Linked DNA regions of Macaca mulatta. The protein of the gene in region 1 interacts with the protein of each later gene in a pairwise test. Links are inferred from orthologs where the notes say so. Each region holds a gene or a part of one and is shown on either strand. Other genes may lie near its edges.

Evidence for each region. The genes of interacting proteins can lie anywhere in the genome.
Region 2: the proteins of REL (region 1) and EIF4EBP1 interact in binary tests that used the Homo sapiens proteins (3 or more experiments, as listed by UniProt). The two-hybrid records come from large-scale screens. The link is inferred for Macaca mulatta from reciprocal best matches to the Homo sapiens genes REL and EIF4EBP1.

What each region holds. Positions count from the first base shown.
Region 1 is NC_133418.1:63,856,501-63,863,383, forward strand, and holds part of REL (proto-oncogene c-Rel), read right to left. Parts: intron 6,137-6,883; coding exon 5,364-6,136; 3' UTR 1-5,363. UniProt on the Homo sapiens protein: Proto-oncogene that may play a role in differentiation and lymphopoiesis.
Region 2 is NC_133413.1:39,970,315-39,977,734, reverse strand, and holds the start of EIF4EBP1 (eukaryotic translation initiation factor 4E-binding protein 1), read right to left. Parts: upstream 4,447-7,420; 5' UTR 4,317-4,446; coding exon 4,172-4,316; intron 1-4,171. UniProt on the Homo sapiens protein: Repressor of translation initiation that regulates EIF4E activity by preventing its assembly into the eIF4F complex: hypophosphorylated form competes with EIF4G1/EIF4G3 and strongly binds to EIF4E, leading to repress translation.

The sequences.
Region 1 (6,883 bases):
AAACTATCACAAGTTTTCCTGAAGTATTAGGTTATACATTGATAACCCAGCTGTTTCTGTTCACTATGGTTGTGAGAGGCCCAGTTATTTAAAAGGCCATTAAGATTGAAAATAGATTTAGAGGTGTAGGTACAGATTGGGAAGGGGCATGAAGGAAATTTCGGGGGTGGTTGGAAATGTCCTAAACATGGTGGTGACATGGGTGTTAACATACATAAAAATTAATTAAGCTGTACATTTAAAATTAGTCTCCTTTATGCATTTTACTCTACATGTGTTATCCTTGCAAAGAAAAAGACTGGCATCTTTGAGAGCAAGAGTTTTTGTCTTATTCACCTCTGTATAATTTCCAACATGGGGCTTTGTACATTAGACATTCAAAAAATGTTATACAAGATTGGTTGCATCAATACTGGAGTGTCTGTGTAAGGGTTAGGTGCTGAGGCTGAGAAGTATACGAGGGAGACTTGAGATTAAACCTGCCACATAAAGTGGAGAGAAGTAGCAAGGTCAGGGCTATGAAATAATCCTAAAAACTTTAGAATTTCTACATAATACAGTTGACACTACTATTCTCAATAGAGCTGCTTTCAGTCTCAAAGGGCTGTGGTATGTGTGCGTGTGTGTGGTAAAAAAGGGAAGCAGCAGGTCAAGGAAGAGAAGTGTATTTCACAAGACTTAAGTAATCTTGTCATTGCTGCTTTTCCTGCCAGAAAATCATTACCATTCCCTTTAAAAATCATTTCCATATACATTGCAATAATCGCTCCTATGTCAATTCCACCCTTCCTTCTCTAATAATAGCTACTATTTATTCAGCACCAACTAGTATACTAGGGACTATGCTGGGTGCTGGAGTCCCAATGACGAATGAGACAAACACTTAAATAAAAGGATGTCCATAATACAGGCATGTACAAAGCTTCACCTCAACTGAGGAGGCAGGACCAACCTTCACAGAGAAGCCCAGTCTTCAAGGATGAGTGTTCTAGTTCCAGAAGAGCAGAAGCAGAGTGGGTAACATGTTAAAGGTATGGAGGCCTGAAAGAATTGCCTTTTTTCAAGGAATGCTAACTATGTAATAAGGTATAGGGAGAACGTGGTATTTTAACTGGAACATATGGAAAAGATTATTACTAGGGAAAAAAGAATGAAGGCCTTTACTAAGAAAGCAGCAGGAATGAAGAAGGGACAGATGCAAGAGGAGACAAGCTCAAAAGGACTTGATGATTAAGTATGAGTGTGACGGAGAAAAAGAATACAATACTTTGAGGTCCTAGTAAGCTTCTTGGGTGGCGTGGTAAATGATAATGCCATTATGGAAGGTAAAGAAGAGAGGGAGCCAGTTTACCAGGGCATTCAGGTAGCATGAAAGAAAACCGAACCTGTGGGCTCTGATAAGATCATCCAGGGGGAATAATAGCACCAACTGAGGGGAGAGGTTGAGACTCATGGGAAATAAATCTCAGGGAGGAATCTTGTCTACCACAGAAAACCCAGACGAATATCCAAACAGGGAAGTATAGGAGGTTATAAATAGGTCAAGCAGTGTGAGGACAGATAAAAAGACACTAGACTTGACAAGACGGGCAGTCTCCGCTTATCTTTCCCAGAATATCCTAAGAAAATTGTAGGAGCTAAAGATAGAGATCACTGGGCTAAGGAATAACTGGGAAGGGAGAAAACGGAGGCTGGAGGCATTTCAGAAGTCAGGATGCAAAGGCATCCAGGTGGTAGGAAAGGTTTTATTTGGTCTTTCCTTTTAGGCTAATGAAGACATTTACCATGTTTATACAAAGAAAGGAAGCACTAATTGGTGATGTAAGGATTTTAAACACAGCCTGGGAGAGAAAGGAGGAGGGATCCAGTGCACAAGTAGAGTTCAGAAAAGTGCCTTAGAAACTAAAAGGGTGTTAAAAGAGCAGGGGAAAGGATAAATACATGTAGAGATAGAGGAGAAATGTTGCCAAATTCATTTTAAATTAAAGTCTATGATCAAAAAATAGCACCTGAAAAATGAAAAATCCATTGGGAATATTCTAAACACAGTGTAGCAGAACCTTAATTCTGCTTATACTTACTTATACTAAGTAGCCAAAGCTTATTTAGTTTAAAAAAAATCCATATAGCTATTCTAACAGTCAGTGTTTAAACTGATTGGTGCTAATTAATCTAAAACTATGAGATTCTGTGTTAAAAAAAAAAAACAAAAAACACCTCACCACCTATCCATCACCATCTAGAGCCATCCTGGGTTCATATTTTGAACAGAAAAGAAATTGTGCCTTCAGGTTTTTCTTTCTCCCTGGTAAGTTCTATTTATGTGCTTATGATTTTAAAAATTTATTTTAATTTATATTTTTAAATAAAAAATAAAAAAAAATTTCTACCTTTTTTACTGAAGTCTATGATTCTTGTGAGATTTCACAACTGCTGCTCATGAAAAATTTATAATACAGAAATATTTCTTTTTGAAATAATAATTTCTGAGGAATATTACTGGTACTTAGGTTCTTTAATTCTTTTTGTTTTTCCTTCCTGAACCATCCTGACCCCAAGCCTTATCTTGCTCTCTTCCCTATTTCCCAGTATCATTTAACTGAGAATTTTTGTTTTTATGGCATTCATACATTCCTCAATTTGACCAAAACAACTAATTCATGTAAAGTTATGGTTTGGTTAGACATCGTGTAAGTAAAATGACAGACTGCTTCTTGCTAGGAAGATATTCAACATTTAGGGCAGGTTCTAGTTGTAGTAACAAACTAGGTCTTGAATAAGTTAATTACTTAGCATAATGATAATTCCATCACAATTAAGATTACTGCCCAACTTTAATCTGTAATAAAATATAATGATCTAATTAACCCTTACAATGTCTTTGAGAAATAAAAGGGCAAAATAAATAATTACATATCAAATGAAAACTCCTAAAATATAACTATGTTTTGAAGCACAAGTAAAAGGTTTCTAAATGCCAGAATTACCAAAAGTTAGGAAATAGAAAGGGCAAATAAAGTGTCATGTTACAGCTACAACAACTCAAATAAAGCATGCAGAAACAACTAGGAAACACTGAGAATTTTAAATCTGATGAAGGAGCCAGCAGAGATTACCCAGCATTCAGCTCACCATTTGAGACCAGCCAAATGAATATGTGACAAGTCTCTTTTAAAAATCTTGCACTTTGAAAAGGAAATGTGTTATAAGTGTTACTCAATCTGGAAGTTATGGTGAGCTTGACAATGTCAAAACATGGATTTAGAGATTCTCAATGAACAGATATTTTACCTTCAATAAAATCTCCTTTCATAAAAGGAAAAAAAAGATTACCCAAATTCTACCATCATTTTGCCACTGGGATTATTTTCCTTTTGAACAATTTGGATGACCATTATTATTCCTGGACTTGAATGTACATGATTCTTATAAACCCAATGTCACACTAAGTAAAACTGCAAAAATCATATACATCTTATAATTAAAGTTACTATTTCTTTCAAAAACTAAAGTTCTATTAGTATTACTTTTAATGTTCAATAAATATTTTCTGAGTGTTTAATATAAGGTAGCCATTTTTCTACAAATTGGAGATTCAACAATAAAGCACAAAAATTTCTGTCCTTAGAAAGTTAATATTTCAGTATGGGAAAACAAACAGTAAATGAATAAATGCTTAGTAAAGTCAGATCATGGTGAGTGCTATGGACATACATAAAGCAGGGGGGACAGCAAATGCTGATGTATATATTCAAGGAAGACCTGCTCAGGTAACAGTGGAGTGACACCTGAAGGATGTAAAAGAGTGAACTATGCATTTTTCTGGGAGAAGAACATTCAAGGCAGAGGGAATACAAAGAGTCCAAGGCATGTGCATACTTGATGCTTTGAGGAGCACTGAGGCCAAGGTGCCTGGAGCTGCATGACGAGGTGGGACATGGTAGTACCTGAAGTAGGACAGGGAGTCTAGGCCTGCAACTTTTAAGAACTTTGACTGCTCTGAGTGGATGGTTTTGAGCAGATGAATGGTAGGAGTTGACTTGTTTTAAAAATAATCATTCTGGCTACTTTATGGGGAACAGACTGTAGGGATGCAAGGATATAAGGAGAATTTTTGTAGATGATAGCTTCAATCCAGGGAAGAGATGATGGTGGCTTGGAATAGGGCGTTAATAGTAGAGATCAAAAGAAGTGGTCAGCTTTAGATATATTATGAAGGTAGGGTCTACTAGATTTGCTAATGGATTGGATATGGGATCTAAAAGAAGAATCAAGGATGACGTCAGGGTTTTTGGCCTGAGCAACTAGAAGTATGGCATTGCCATTTACTGAGTTGGGGAAGACTGAAGGAGAAGCAAGTTTGGGAGGGAAGACCAAGAATTCAGTTTCAGATACGCTGAGTGTGAGCTTTAATTAGATTTCTAGATAGAGATGTCAAATAGGCAGTTTTATGAGATCACGGGGAGTTAGAACATCTAAGAAAGGAGAGTGGTCCAAGGAAACTTCTTCCCCTTAAAAAATATGAGTGTAAAGCTAAAATCATAAGCAACTTTTAAGGCATAGACTGAAATAGTATAAAATGTAGAAAACCTCCCATACCTTGAAAGCTCACCTCAACTGCCTTCTGCCCAACTTAACATTTTAAAGATATTTTGATACACATACAAATCTAAGAAGCCCCAAGAAGCCTAAGAAAACCCCTTAGGGGTTACCTTGGCCCATGGGCCTCAAAAATAAGAAATTAAGTTTTTCAATGGCATAGCCATTACAAGTTTTATCTTAAATTTGCTTGAAATTTAAGAATACATTAAAACATTATAAAAAGAAATATAAAAAAGCATTTTTTTTTTTTTTGAGACAGAGTCTCACTCTGTCACCCACGCTAGAGTGCGGTGGTGTGATCTCAGCTCACTGCAACCTCCGCTTCCTGGGTTCAAGCAATTATTGTGCCTCAGGCTCCCAAGTAGCTGACAGTACAGGTGCGTACCACCATGCTCAGCTAATTTTTGTATTTTTAGTAGAGACGGGGTTTCACCATGTTGGCCAGGCTGGTCTCGAATTCCTGGTCTCAAGTGATCCACCCGCCTCGGCCTCCCAGAGTGCTAGGATTACAGGCGTGAGGTCCTGCACCTGGCCTCTGAGTTGTCCTTTTATGACAGCTTCCAATTTTGTATTCACTATGTCCAAAGTTGTATGCTTCTTCCCTGAAAAAAGTTTTTTATATTCTCAAATACAGTATTATTCTTCTCAGTCAGTATTATATATACAGTATAAATACAGTATTATATTCCCAGTTAGACAAATACAAAACGCTGCATCTATACAGGTGGTATCAAGATTTAAAAGGATTTAAATCTTGCAAGTTATACTTGAAAAAATTCATATGGAAAAGAGTCACTCAATTGCTCATTTTGCATACTGCCAATACCTGAATACTGACTATCTTGAACAAAACTATGACTGTTTGGATTAGTACTGTTTGATGGGCCCGACTCATTTATCATGCTGTTATCTGCACAACTGAAGTCAGATCCCTCAAATGCATCTGATTGTGAAACAAAAACAGTAGTATTGGAATTGGCACCTGCCGACATACTGGAAGAGGACATCTGATGGAGCTGTCTCAAGTCTCTTGGGTCTAACACTGAATTACATGAGGGGTTTTCAAGATTCATGCTCAGAAGTCTTGGATTATCCGTCTCTTCCATGCTATCATTGCTGGTTGCCATCATATTCACAGAACAATTAGACAGCATGTTGTGATCAGAAATACCATATAAGTCTGCTGGTGGCATGGATGACGCTTCCATTCCAACTATGTCATCGGCATTGTTATAAATGCAAGCGTTAGAAGCATTTAAATCATTCCCAATAGGTATTCTCAGGAATGGTGGGATACCTTGCGAATTAGAAGGAAGTGTCCCTGTTGAAAAACTACTCAGTGGGTTTGTATTGCCTGAGCGTGGGGTGGGGTGGGCCACTGATGACCAGCTTGAAGAAGGAAGAGGTGTCATTGAGGCATGATGTGACAATCCACTTGAGATGGGCCCAGGTGAGGGATAGTAGGATTCTGCTTGACTTGAAACCCCTGTAGGCATTTCTCTCACAACTGCATCATGAGAAAACAAGTTTGGTTCTGTGGGAGGAAAAATTTGTTTTACAAAATTAAAAGGAACAAAATTATAAAAAGTATTTCTAAATTAAAATTGCATAAGCACACAAATATATATAAAGAAAAATGTCAGGGAAACCAATGTAACATTTCAAATAAAAAAGTGTTAAAAGCACTAAAATTATTACACGAATCCAAAATGAAATTCTGTAACATACATACCATTTTACAAATACAGGTAAAATGATTTTTGCAAGTTACTTTGGCATATGTAATGTCACTCCAGTTAAATATGAAAATCTAGTTTCTGAGGCTCTATAAAGGTATTTTTGAAAACTAAAAGATAAATATTAGAATTACAATTAATGGGACTCCAAATAGCCAAAATCATCTCTTAGGAGAAAATGGAAGGATGGAGAAAACACTCATTAGGGATAAGAAAATACATACAACTTTTAAGATATATTACGACAGAACCCTAAGAGACTATAAAATTCACAGTCAGAAAAAATTACAGAAAAAATTAATTCTGTATTTATTTACATATTATACAAATGCTTTATGAACTAAACCAGGAAAAAGCACTGATTTAAGAATGTACATGGGGGAAAAAGACTTCTAATTAGCCCTTGGTTGAATTATCTAAACTAGGAATTGGTAATTTTTTTTTTCTGTAAAAAGTCAGATTGTAAATATTTTAGGCTTTGTGAGCTATATACAGCCTCTGTTCGAACTATTCAACCCTGTTACCATAGTGTTATAAAAAAAAAA
Region 2 (7,420 bases), on another chromosome or scaffold:
CTTCCCTCTATGTGACTAAGGCCTCAGGACATGGGCTGTGCTCTGGCTTCGATGCCCAGCCTACGTCCCCCCTCTTCCCAGCACCGCCTCTTTCATGTCCAAAGACTTGGGAGCTGCTCCAAGGTAAGCTTCCCAGGCACAGACCTTGTTTGCTTAACCAAACAGGGTGCCATTAACACCTGCAGCTCTACCTGCTCACCTCGGATTCACCTTATCCAGGTACGAGTCTTTGGCATAACTGCCACCCAAGCCTGTATGTAGGCTTCAGAGTCAAACATGCAACACGGAGCTGGGAATGTGGAGATCGATAAGGGAAAGTTTCTTTCTGATCCACTCAAAGGTTCTGCTGGCTAATGGGTTGTTTATGGTGTTGCTGGATATTTCTAAGACTCCAAAGACTCAAATATTCATACATGACACTCCCTTCAGCAAAATTCTCTTAAGTACTCCGGACAGCTAACCTCAGCAGAGCCTCAGTGTACAAATGGTTAATGACCATGGAAAGCAAACTGGAGGCCGGGTGAGGTGACTCATGCCTATAATCCCAGCAGTTTGGGAGGCTGAGGTGGGAGGATTGCTTGAACCCAGGAGTCTGAGGCCAGCCTGGGCAATACAGAGAGACCCTGCCTCTACAAAAAAATCAAAAACTTAGCAGGGTATGGGGGCACGTGCCTATAGTCCCAGCTACTTGCAAGGCTGAGGCAGGAGGATCACTTGAGCCCAGGAGTTTGAGACTGCAGTGAGCTATGTTCATGTTACTGTACTCCAGCCTGGGTGACACAGTGAGACCCTGTCTCAGGGAAAAAAAAAAAAAAAAAAGGAAAGCAAACTGCAGTCACAGGAACGGAGATAGCGCAACCCAACTCTGCTTCTTTCCCTCCAGGGACGATCACTTGATGGCCATTCCCAGCAGGAGTGACTGGTGGGCACTTACTCCAGTGGTTTTTCCTGAGAAGCTGACAGTCCCTATAAGTAAGCAGGTGCAGACAGCCATACAGACACTCTATCAAAAGCCTGACTCTCCACACCATGATTTAGAGACAGATGCTGAGCCCAACCTCAAGGTTTACCTGGATGGAGTCATCATTTTTTTTTTTTTTTCCGCCAGACTCCAGAGATCTGAAAGGTGAGGGAAGTTACGTTCCACTAATTCCTGAGTACTCAGAGTGTGGTATATGCACCAATCACTGAGAGCTAGTTAGAAATGATGAATCTAGGCTGGGCATGGTGACTCATGCCTGTAATCCCAGCACTCTGGAAGGCCGAGGCAGGCAGATCACTTGAGGTCAGGAGTTTGAGACCAGCCTGGCCAACACGGTGAAATCCCCGTCTCTGCCAAAAAATACAAAAATTAGCTGGGCATGAGTGGCGTGTGCCTGTTGTCCCAGCTATTGGGGAGGCTGAGGTGGGAGGATCGCTTGACCCCGGGAGGTGGAGGTTGCTGTGAGCTGAGATCATGCCATTGCACTCCAGCCTAGGTGACAGAGTGAGACCCTTCTCAAAAAAAAAAAAAAAAAAGAAAGAAAGAAAAAAGAAAGAAATGCTGAATCTAGTCCCCACCCCCACCTACAGAATCAGAATATGCACTTAAATGAAGCCCCCAGTTATCCTCAAGCACCTGGAAGGTTGAGACGCAGTATTCTGCTCTGGAGCAAAAGGGTCCTGCGATGTGACCATTTCAGCTTCTCTGCCCTAGCAGAGGTGGGCTGAGGTGGGCTTTGGAGGAAGAGTTCACACCTTGGCTAATCGAGGCCGACCAGGCTTGCTTGACTTTAGTGGAAGTAAGCCGGGTTTCCCTGGCTTAGGGACTGTGAGCTGTACCTGGATGACCCAAAGAGTGAGCTGGCTTTAGGCTCCTGGCACTGCTAGCTTCTTCCAGTGATCTCAGAAACATGCTATGCCCTGATGCAGAAGCCCCTTCCCCACTCCCCCTACTGTTAAAGACCTTCGGCCGGGCGCGGTGGCTCAAGCCTGTAATCCCAGCACTTTGGGAGGCCGAGACGGGCGGATCACGAGGTCAGGAGATCGAGACCATCCTGGGTAACACAGTGAAACCCCGTCTCTACTAAAAATACAAAAACTTAGCCGGGCGAGGTGGCAGGCGCCTGTAGTCCCAGCTACTCGGGAGGCTGAGGCAGGAGAATGGCGTGAACCCGGGAGGCGGAGCTTGCAGTGAGCTGAGATCCGGCCACTGCACTCCAGCCTGGGTGACAGAGCGAGACTCCGTCTCAAAAAAAAAAAAAAAAAAAAAAAAAAAAGACCTTCAAAAGGAGGGGGATTTGCTGTGGTCTGTCAGCCCCCTGCCTACTCCCCACTTCCCAACCCAAAGTGAAAAGTGGATTCAAAGTTCATATATTTTATGTTTATTATTTATTTTAGAGACAGGGTCTCGCTCTGTCACCCAGGCTGGAATGCAGTGGTCAATCATAGCTCACTACAGCCTCCAACTCCTGGGCTCAAGCGACCCTCTGGCCGCAGCCTCTGTAATAGCTAGGACATCTTTTTTTTTTTTTTTTTTTTTTTTTTTTTTTTTTGTAGAGATGGAGTCTCACTATGTTGCCCAGGCTGGTCTTGAACTCCTGGCCTCAAGCAATTCTCCTGCCTCGACTCCCCAAAATGCTGAGATTACAGGTGTGAACCTTGGTACCCGTGCCAGAAGTGCCTATAAACAGTATCTGTGGCTTCCAATTTGACCCAACAATCCAGCAATAAAAGGCGCAAAAAAGGGCTACCTGTGCCTTCAGGCCAGCCTCAGGGCCCACCCTGAACAAATCCAGCAGACACTTACACCCTCAGTTGAAAGAAGTCCAAAATTGTCAGGAATTGTCCTGGTAGACCATTGTGACAGGGACAAAGGAGAACAGCATGAACTACAAAAGACCCAGCAAGGGAAAGAGGATGAGTCGGGAGTGGCAATAAGAGCCCCTGCGAGCTTTTCCTTGGCTCATTTCTAATAGAAAATGAAGCATTCCTCCCTTCTCTGCCTGGTTGCTATTTCTTGTCCAATCTGGGAAAACGGTGTGACAATGGGCAATAGACACGTGTTCAAGCTCTGGGGCCTCAATGCCCGGCTCTGTAGAATAAGGCGGCAGGGCTGGACAAGATCCCTAACCGTTCTAACAGTGTATGTTTTGGATCAAATAGCTGAGGACCTCGGATCCGGCCGTGCATGCTGCTGGTAGGACAGCTGCCTGAGAAAATAAGCATGTGGCCCCTGCCCGCCACCGAGTGAAGCGCCAGGATCTGTCGCGTTTTCGAGTAGTTTGGAAAGCAGCGTGGAGGAGATTGAAGGGAGAGAAGTCAAAGGGGTGGGGGCAGTACGAGGATGGGAGGGGAGTGGAGAGCCACGAGGATTTGTTTCATCATGCAAACAGGCGCGTAGGTTTCATCAGCGTCTGTGCGCTGGGGTTGCGGGGCTGGGAGGGAATGCCAGGCTCCTGAGGGCAGCCTGAGGCTGCCCCCCCACCCCCGCACCCGTGCCAGCTCAGCTTCCTCTTCCTCATCCTCTCCCAGGGAGGTCACACGGTGCCTCCTCCTCTCCCCGGACAGAAGAACGTGTTTTTCTGCACAGCCCTGCCCGTGGCGCCAGGCCCCCCCGCGGAGATCCCACTCGCGAAAATGGGGAACGTGCCACAGGTGCCCGGGAGGCTCTGCTGGAGCAGGAGAGCACCCCCACATCCAAACCTCCGTCAGAGCGCGCGTGTCCAACGCAAAACTAGGGGTGCTTCGGAAAGGAAAAAGGGCCCTGCAGGAATCATTTATCCCAACAGATAATACCCATCCCATAAAAACACCAGGCCAGGCCTCTCCTGGATCGTGGGCCACCCTGACTCCGCCCTATCCTGCCTCGGGAGCGCCCCCAACACCCACAAGGGGCAGCACAGCTCGGCATGTGGCAGTCCTGGAAGAGTGCGTGTTTGTTAGGTGTCAGCTGTCTGACACCTAACAGAAAGAGGAAACGAACGGGGCAGTTTGCAACCTGGGTCTGGACGACGCACTCAAGAGGGCAGACGGGCGGCCACTTCCATGACCCTCGATATCTCCCCGATGCCCCTTCTCCGTTCTTTCCAGTCACAGCGCCCTTGAGCCTGGACACCCGGTCCAATCCGCGATTCCCGATCCTCCCGCCCGCCCAGGAGCCGGCCAGCTGCGTCCCCAAGCCCGCGCCTACCTCCCGGGGTGGTGCTGAAGAGTGTGCCGCCGGGGGTCGTGCTGTAGTCCCCGGGCGGGAGCTGCACGCCGTCGCCGAGCACCACCCGGCGAGTGGCGGGGATGGCCCGACTTGGGGTCTGGCTGCAGCTGCTGCCCCCGGACATGGTCTCCTGTGCGCTGCACCAGCGAACCTCTCGCTGCCCTCCCGCGCCTCCAGCCTCGCTCCGCCTAGCCGGGTCCCGCTCAGCCTCGCCCCGTCCCGCCCCGCCCCAGGACGCCCCTTCCGCCTCTCCCGCCCACGCCCCTGGGATTTGTAGTCCGCGCCGCAGCCCCACCCAGCTCCAGGACGTTGCTTCCACGTGGGATCCCCCGCAGCCCCCCGACCCACTCACGCCTGCTCACGGGCTCTTCCGCACGGGCGCCGGCGCCGCCCCGCAGCGACTGCCCCTCTGTCCTGTGTCCCTCCCCGCCACGTTGGCAGGGATGGGGGTGGGGGTGGTGGGCGGGATAGCTCGCCTAAATTAATCCTTGGCTGGGTTGGGGGCGGCGACTCAGGACCGCGCGGAGATCCGAGCTGACCCGGCCCACTGCAGGAAGGCCCGGTTTCTGCCTTAGTACATCAGGCCCGGTGTACCCTCCGGCACTCCCTGTTTCGTGCCTTAGTTCCTCAGATGAGAAAGTGGGGATTGAGTGGTCATGCTCACCCCCTCCCCCGCCTCAATTTCTTGACCTTGATGGGGGTGGGGATGGTGGGGCTAACAATTCTGTTCCCGGCCTTTAGACAGGGTGTGGGAGGAGGAGTGAACCAACCAGCGGCGTCCTGGGAGTTAAATTTAGAGCTAGGGGCGCGGGGGTAGGGGGAGAGGGAAGGGCGTAGGAGAGGGGTAAGAGTTTGTCAAAGAGGTTTCCCGATAACTCCTGAATTGGGTCCAACGCCCACCCCACTGCCTGAGATTTAGTAGGTACTCCTTGGATGGATGGATGGAGGGATGTTCAAGGGGAGAGAGAAAAATGCAAGAAGGACCGAGGATGGAAAAGCTTGTTGGGTTTGAGAAGTTCTTAGCATTGTGGGCACATGTTGTGGGGAAGAGGGTGAAGAAAGTTTAAAAGGGAAATTGGGTGGTGCACCTGTAATCCCCACTACTCAGGAAGCTGAGCTGGAGGATGCTTGAGCTCAGGAGTTTGAGGCTCCAGTGAGTGTGATCACACCACTGCACTCCACCCTTAGTGAGAGACCCTATCTCTAAAAAATATATAATAATTTTTTAAAAAGGAAATTGGGGTCAGGTCATTGAGTTTTTCAAATCATGCCAAAGTGCTTGGACTTTGTCTTAGAAGGGCAGGAGAGATCAGAGATTTTTTTTTTTTTTTTTTTTTTTTTTAAGGCTGGAGTGCAGTGGCGCGATCTTGGCTCACTGCAAGCTCTGCCTCCCGGGTTCACGCCATTCTCCTGCCTCAGCCTCCCGAGTAGCTGGGACTACAGGCGCCCGCCACTGCGCCCAGCTAATTTTTTGTATTTTTAGTAGAGATGGGATTTCACCGTGTTAGCCAGGATGGTGTTGGTGTCGATCTCCTAACCTCGTGATCCACCCGCCTCGGCCTCCCAAAGTGCTGGGATTACAGGCGTGAGTCACCGCGTCCAGCCCAGAGATCTTTTAAGCAGGGGGATGACATGATTTGAGTTGTTTTTTTTGAAAGATAACTAGTAGCCAGTGGAGTTTCAGGATGGGCCAAGGAGGGCAAGGCCTGAGATAGGGAGACCTGTTGAATTTGGTCTCACTTTTGAGGGAAACTTTAGGCCTACAGTGGCTTAAGACAGTAGCCGCCAGCTACAGGTGCACATTGAGCACTCCAAATGTGGCCAGTCCAAACTGTCACAAGTTTAACATACACACCATATTTCAAAGACTTAGCATGAAAAAAATAATGTAAAATGCCTGAATAATTTGTTTCTATATTGATTGTATGTTGAACTGATAATATTTTGAGTATATTGGGTTCAGAAAATTACATTAAAAAATTAATTTTGGGCCAGGTGCAGTGGCTTACGCCTGTAATCCCAACACTTTGGGAGGCCGAGGTGGGCAGATCACGAGGTCAAGAGATCGAGACCATCCTGGACAACATGGTGAAACCCTGTGTCTACTAAAAATACAAAAAAAATTAGCTGGGCATGGTGGTGCGTGCCTGTAGTTCCAGCTTACTCGGGAGGCTGAGGCAGGAGAATCGCTTGAACCTGGGAGGTGGAGGTTGCAGTGAGCCGAGATCACACCACTGCACTGCAGCCTGGTATCAGAGCAAGACCCCGTCTCAAAAGAAAAAAAAAAATTAGGCCGGGCGCGGTGGCTCAAGCCTGTAATCCCAGCACTTTGGGAGGCCGAGACGGGCGGATCACGAGGTCAGGAGTTCGAGACCATCCTGGCTAACACGGTGAAACCCCGTCTCTACTAAAAAATACAAAAAACTAGCCGGGCGAGGTGGCGGGCGCCTGTAGTCCCGGCTACTCGGCAGGCTGAGGCAGGAGAATGGCGTAAAAACCCGGGAGGCAGAGATTGCAGTGAGCTGAGATCCAGCCACTGCACTCCAGCCTGGGCGACACAGCGAGACTCCGTCTCAAAAAAAAAAAAAAAGAAAAAAAAAATTAATTTCGGCCAGGTGCGGTGGCTCACGCCTGTAATCCCAGCACTTTGGGAGGCCTAGGCGGGTGGATCATGAGGTCAGGAGTTCAAGACCAGCTTGCCAAGATGGTGAAACCCTGTCTCTACTAAAAATACAAACAACAACAACAAAAAGCCGGCCATAATGGCCGGCACCTGTAATCCCAGCTACTCAGGAGGCTGAGGCAGAGGTTGTAGTGAGCCGAGAACCACCACTGCACTCCTGCCTGGGCGACAGAGTAAGACGCTGTCTCAAAAAAAAAAAAAAAAAAAAGAAGGCCGGGCATGGTGGCTCACGCCTGTAATCCCAGCACTTTGGGAGGCCGAGGCGGGTGGATCACGAGGTCAGGAGATCGAGACCATCCTGGCTAACACGGTGAAACCCTGTCTCTACTAAAAATACAAAAAATTAGCCGGACGTGGTGGTGGGCGCCTGTAGTCCCAGCTACTCGGGAGGCTGAGGCAGGAGAATGGCGTGAACCCGGGAGGTGGAGCTTGCAGCGAGCCGAGATGGCGCCACTGCACTCCAGCCTGGGTGACAGAGCAAGACTCCGTCTCAAAAAAAAAAAAAAAAAGAAAAAGAAATTAATTTCGTCCAGGCTGTGGATCAC